Linked DNA regions of Tribolium castaneum. The main gene of each other region encodes a partner of the protein of the gene in region 2 in a complex. Links are inferred from orthologs where the notes say so. Each region holds a gene or a part of one and is shown on either strand. Other genes may lie near its edges.

Evidence for each region.
Region 1: Tfb5 (region 2) and Polr2K share a complex: the UniProt entries of both Homo sapiens proteins name them as parts of the TBP-based Pol II pre-initiation complex. The link is inferred for Tribolium castaneum from reciprocal best matches to the Homo sapiens genes GTF2H5 and POLR2K.

What each region holds. Positions count from the first base shown.
Region 1 is NC_087394.1:4,870,956-4,873,704, forward strand, and holds Polr2K (DNA-directed RNA polymerases I, II, and III subunit RPABC4), read right to left. Parts: upstream 1,091-2,749; 5' UTR 963-1,090; coding exon 899-962; intron 846-898; coding exon 753-845; intron 685-752; coding exon 662-684; 3' UTR 619-661; downstream 1-618. Other genes in the region: Pfk (ATP-dependent 6-phosphofructokinase), read right to left, coding at 1,371-1,500, 1,554-1,776, 1,840-2,064, 2,396-2,648, 2,697-2,749. UniProt on the Homo sapiens protein: DNA-dependent RNA polymerase catalyzes the transcription of DNA into RNA using the four ribonucleoside triphosphates as substrates.
Region 2 is NC_087399.1:6,497,583-6,501,220, reverse strand, and holds Tfb5 (general transcription factor IIH subunit 5), read left to right. Parts: upstream 1-1,291; 5' UTR 1,292-1,398; coding exon 1,399-1,433; exon of another isoform or gene 1,434-1,480; coding exon of another isoform or gene 1,481-1,862; intron 1,863-2,323; coding exon of another isoform or gene 2,324-2,550; exon of another isoform or gene 2,551-2,556; intron 2,557-2,577; coding exon 2,578-2,764; 3' UTR 2,765-2,849; downstream 2,850-3,638. Other genes in the region: hydroxyacyl-coenzyme A dehydrogenase, mitochondrial, read right to left, coding at 117-693, 748-861; meiotic nuclear division protein 1 homolog, read right to left, coding at 1,481-1,862, 2,324-2,550; heix (ubiA prenyltransferase domain-containing protein 1 homolog), read left to right, coding at 3,274-3,638. UniProt on the Homo sapiens protein: Component of the general transcription and DNA repair factor IIH (TFIIH) core complex, which is involved in general and transcription-coupled nucleotide excision repair (NER) of damaged DNA and, when complexed to CAK, in RNA transcription by RNA polymerase II.

The DNA.
Region 1 (2,749 bases), on a different chromosome or scaffold from region 2:
GGCTGTCCAATGTCTCAAAACCTTAAAACCTATCCTACGTGATAGGTTTTTTCCATAAAATTTAATAAAATCACACCATGGTTGTGGTCTCTTAGGCTCAAAAAAACATTTTGGGGAAAATCAAAAAAACACTTCAAAAATCAAAATTACCTCAGTGCGCTGGCGGGAAACCGGCACGCAACGGTAAACCTCGCCGGCGCCCTTTCAGCACGTGGTGCAATAACACAACGCAGTTATCGCAGCCCTAGACGGCCATCATTGGCCCCCACGTCCTGCACCACCTTCACTCCTCCGACAATTGTCAGTCCAAAAATCGGCGAATTTTTTACTCTCGGCGTTTTCAACGGCGAAGCCACACGTCGCGACCGGCGCGCTCAGACACCGGCGTAGAACCTGCGTGTATTTAGTTTTATTGATCGCACATGGACGACCTTGAATTTGGTTAAAGAGGAGGTTGCGTTGCAGAAAGTGGTCCTGCACTGCCCTTGCGCGAGACCTTGAAATTTTCGCTACAACTGGGCCCTGGGAAATCGATGCATTGCCCCAGGTGGTGCCCAAGGTGCTTGAATTGTCGGACGTAGGAAAGGGGAAAGACAGGTTTGCAAATAATAACCCCAATGTAAAAAACACTCTATTCCAACCTTAATTAATTACAATTTTTTCACCGGGCGTCAAACACGGCCACTGGATCAAAGTTAAGGAAAAATTAACTGAAAATTTGCAAGTGTTAGTAATTGATAATAAAAGGATACATCGTTTGGTTCTCTTCTTGTACATAATACGGTACCCACATTCCCGGCACCTGATTGGATCCCGCGGCCTTATTTCGTTCTCATTGTGGCATTCTAAATAATTTTCGAAAATTTTCAAATCAAAACATAACCTCACTTTCACGTACCTCCGCAAATGTAAACCATGGGAGTTTTCGTGGCCCCTGAGTCTTTGGTCGAAGGTTCCGACATCCTAATCACTTAAATTAGCACAATTTTTAATACAAACGAGCGGGAACGTAGTTTTCTCCTCTAATAAATTTTGTATAAAAACAACGCCACCATGCCGACTTAGGGAATTTCATCTTTTTTTTGTTATTCCAACGGTTGGCAACGCCAACGTATACAAGCGCGAAATTCAAAAAGGTGCAGGAATTTTTGATAGTTTATTAAAATTTTATTGAAATATAATACGTCCATTCCACATACCCAGCTCGAATCGTACTTTGTAACACTTGACCCGTCTTCAAATATCGATATTGTCATCACAATATGGCCAAAATTTGTTTACAATATCTCATTTAATAAAATAAACTACACAATAAAATAAATAAAACAAGCTAAAAAATACAAATTCACTATAAATGGCTACGGTTGCCTTTAATTAATAAAACTGCGATCCTCAATCGTCATATACATCCCTTCTTCCTCATATGTCGAATCATGTTTTGCCAAAATACGCAATAGAGGGCGCAGTTTCAACCACCATTGCTCTTTAGGCATACGCAAGCTAAAACAATTTAAAGTAATTATAAAAAACAGTTTAATAATTTATAAACGTACTCAAAGTTGGTTTGTTCTTTCAACTCAGCGACTGGTGTAAACTTGTATTGTCTTTTAACGATTCCTAACAGAACGACGCTGTCTTGACTAGAACAACTGACTGAGCCGTCTGAACTCATATTGCTTTTTAATTGGTTGATCATCCATTCGACCGCTTTGGACGCCATTTTGGTACCAACATTGCGGTCAAAAGGTGTGGGGGAACCCCCTTGTTGCATATGACCTTAACAATACACACACAAAAAAAGTATTAAATTTTTAAACAAACAAACGTCTATATAAATACCTAAAACGTTCATCCTGGCACTAAACAAGCCTTTTCCTTCCTCACAATACAATCTGTAGATAAAGTCGGTATTGTAGTTATCTGACGCTTTTTCGTTACGTAAAATTAAACCACGTTGTACACCTTCGGACATTTTCGTAGCCATGTGGTAGACATCTTGTTGCAAGTCTTTAATTGTGAATTTTTCCTCGTAAATGTACGCAGCATCCGCACCCCCAGCGAGACCTAACATGTGAAAATAAGTTGGCGATGCTGAATAATGAATGTGTTGGCAACATTGACTGTCAAACTTAAACATTAATATTTACCTTTTTTATATCATTAATAGATATTTAATTACCCCATGCATCAAATATACAAGGTGTATCAGAAATAAGATAATACAAGTAATACGAACTCCTATATTTTATTTCTAAAATGGAGGATTTTGGAAGAAATAAATTACGTCAAAAACTAAGTAGTTCTGAAACAACCTGTATAGGGTCGAATATTTTACGTTTTGAGACACAAACTGTCTTCATTTCATACAATGTTGCCAACTTAATATCGATATTACCTGCAAGTGTGGCCAAATATCCGCAATACCCGCCCATGGTTTCAATAATAAAAACCCTCCTTTTCGTGCCTTGAGCCGACTGTCTGATTCTATCACAAATTTCGGTGATTTCGTTCAAGGCTGTGTCACAACCTAGTGAAAATTCCGTCCCTGGTACATTGTTACTGATAGTTCCGGGGATTACCACGATTGGTATATTGAGAGCTGGAAAATCTTTACGGCTGTCTAGAAATTGTACAGCGGCTGCAAATGCCTAAACCACAATTTTTAGTTCTTCGAGCCGGATAAAGTTAAAACTTACTTCAAAGCCGCCAATAATGAGTAAACCTTGAATTTTAAATTCGGCCAATCGGG
Region 2 (3,638 bases):
TTCGTTTTGTGTAACTCAAGTCGTATCAGATTTATTGAACGCCTGTATTTGCCACAAGCTTGGCAACCTTAAAGCTCTCAGCTTCGCTTCGAGCTTCAATATTACATAATTATTACCTCTCTCCATCATCCTGATGGCTTCTGCTATATAGGGCACCAGAAGCCTGTTAACAATAAACCCGGGGGTGTCCTTGCAGGTGACGCAGGTCTTGCCCACGGCTTTGCCCCACGCCATAAAGGCCTCGTACGTCTCCTGCGACGTCTCCGGAGTCCTAACAACCTCCAAAAGCTTCATAACGGGCACGGGATTGAAAAAATGCAGCCCCCCGAACCTATCCTTCCTCTTCGTAACGGAGGCAATTTCGGTAATCGAGAGCGAGCTCGTATTTGACGCAAACATGGTTTTGGGGGGCGCGACCTCATCCAAATTTTTGAACAATTTGTGCTTAACATCCATGTTTTCAACAATCGCCTCCACGACCAAATCGCTGTCTTTCACAGCTTCGGCAATGTCGGTGCACCCCTTAATCCGGGCCTGCGATTCGCTCACGAATTTATTAGCGGCTTGCGGGTCATCCTTGTGGAGTTTTTTGGCGACTCGTACCAAGTTTTTCGCAATGCTGTCTTCGGCTTTTTTGATCAAGTCGGGGTTGACTTCCACGATGGTCACGTTGTGGCCGGTTTGCGCGGCCACCTAAGCAAGGGGGCGAATGTTAGGTTAGGTTCGGGTGGTTTGGGGTACACTTACTTGGGCGATGCCTGAGCCCATGAGGCCGCCCCCGATCACAGTTACGTTTTTTATAACTGCGTTCATGGGGCTTGAAGTTGAAAGGCTTCGCTTGATGAACAGGTTTAGGGCCATTTTTTCGCGTTCGGTTACGAGTAAAAAGTGGTGTGTAATGCGGATTTTGTTTGGTTTATTAACGATACAATAACTAGGTGAAAGTCCAAGTTTGTAACCTATGATCGACTCCCACCGCTACGTTTGTGTACTTTTTAATCATTTTATCGTTTATGGCGAGATTAGGGCTCAGAAGTGAAAATCATCGTGCCGATGGTTTAAAAATAATCCGCTTTCGATAACGAGTGCGACTTTTGTACCTGAATTTATTTAGGTATTATGTAATAAAAGTGCAACATCATTCAGTCAAGTGGTACACAGGAGGGTTCCAAAATGGGGCTATATAGCAATCCCTGTTATCAATTTATCCACTTTTTTCAAAGAAATACTTGAAAAAAAATATAATTTTGGGGAAATTTGTGATTATGCAATCAGCAATACACGTGTGAGAGGTTAGTTGCATTCTATAAGTTGTCAAATGTCATAAAAACACCAACTTTTGTAAGAAAAATAATTTATTTCTGATTTAAAAAAGTACACAATTCTCGATTATCAACAATGGTTAATGTAATGAAAGGCGTTTTGGTGACCTGGTAAGGCCCTAACAATTTTTTTGAGTTTTTGTTTGACATAACCTCAATCATGCCAGATAATCCAAATCTCCGGGAATCCCAAACTGCTTATTTAAAACCTTATCTTCCATCATAAACTTCCTTTTGCACCATGATTTGACCGCGAAGATATTATCAGTCCATCGATTTGCTGCTTCTTTTACCGGTTTTATCTCACTTTGCATTAATTTCAAATTTTGAGTATCTGTGTGAGATTTCGACAGAGATTCGAATTTTTCTTTCTGTTTTTCCAGTTTTTCAATTTCCTTCAAAATCTGGCTGTCGTCCCAATTCTCTTTCCCCACCTGCGCTTTTTCCATAGTTTCGTCAATTAATTTCAATTTTTTTGTTGACGATTCTAATTTCGTTTGAAGCTCGTTAAGTTTGCGTTTTTTCGCGTTAAGTAATTTGCTGTAATTAGGATAAAACGTGTTTTTGGCCCGTCTATACCGTTTTTCGGACACTCTCCCAGTTATCTCAGTGATCTCCGTTATTATAAGAGATACGAGGTCGGTTAAATTAGGGCAAAGTTGCGCATTTTTATGCTGAACAATTATTTGAAAAAAAAAATTGTAATTTTCGTTTTTATTTTTTCAAGTGAAAACCAAAAGAACTAGACGTAGGACTTTTTCGGGCACTTTTTACAAGGAATCTAAATTTGTCATCGGATTTTCCTAGGCTTGCTTGATGTCAGAGTTACAACACTTAACTTCGTTTTTTTTATGGGAAAAAAATAAAAACGAAAATCATTTTTTTAAATTTCTCTCAATAATTCAAAAACTAAAAATGGCACATAAAATTTTCTTTCAGAAATTGTTTTGCATACAAATGCACAACTTCTCAAAAAAACGGACACCCTGTATAATATTTACCTGGGAAAAGCCCAAAAGTAGACGGAACTCCCGATCTTATCCTTATCAACAGAACCATCATCCACCAAAGCTTGGACCACTTCTTTCACAGAATTCGCCGTAATTCCTTTCTCCTTTGGCGCAATTATTTCCAATTCATTCATTTGATAAAAATCCCCAGTCTCGTGAAACAATTGCAACATCCTAGCCTTTTTCTCCTCAAAACTTAGACCTTTTTTCTTGAACATTTTCCCCTAAAAAATGCGTTGTTTCAGTGACCAGGCCATGAAACAATTCCTTTTGTATTTAGATGAGACTACAAAACTAGGCCGAAAATTCATAATTCAGGACTTGGATGAAAACCACTTATTTATTTCAGCCGATATTTTAGAGACATTACAGGCAAAAATCGACGATCTGATGGACCAAATTAGCTTCCCAGTCGCCGAAAAAAGCAATTAATTTTTTGTAATTTGCAAAAGTGAGGTTATGTCATATTGATGTGTGGTCATTCGAATTATAAATAAAAAGCGCAGCATTTATATAATGACGTGTTTTGCTATAAATAATATCGTTGCGGGCCGGTTTTCGTCCATACTTACGCAATAAGGCACTAATTAACTGTTTTTTCAAATTGTCGGTACAAATAATACAGTTCCCTGTAAATTGGAAGTGGCTACAATTACGCTTCTTTGATAACCGACTATTCTACAGTTGTTACGCCATCACGAACATTTTTACACACAAATGATAAGAATAGAATTAAGCAATAGATAACGGAAACGTGTCACTAATTATAATTTTTCCCTGATTTAATAGCCGCCGTGACGTAACCACAGCCACATGTCAAACGTCACAATTGACTTCTTTGGTTATGTTCCGTTTGTCAAAGTTATAAAACGAAAAAACGCGTTTCTCGGCCACAAATCATCAAGTGTGTTAAGTTCCGTGTCAGTGCATTTACCCCCATCATGACGGTGCCCACCCCCAGCGAGAAACTCCTCACCAATGGCTCCACCACTCCCAAGCGCCAAAACGGCCAAAAATCGGGCCTCATGAAGCTATCAAGTTACGTGCTAGCCTTGCGTCCGTGGTCCCTCAGTGCCAGTCTCATGCCCACACTGTTGGGCTCCACCATAGCGTACAAATACCCCGGAGTTACCGATTTCAACTACGCCACCCTCCTGCTCACAATTTTCACCGTGGTGTCGGTGCACGGCGCCGGAAACGTCGTCAACACCTACTTCGACTACGTCAAGGGGATCGACAACCGGAAATCGGACGACCGGATCCTGGTGGACCACATTCTGACCAAAGACGAGGTGGTGTCTCTGGG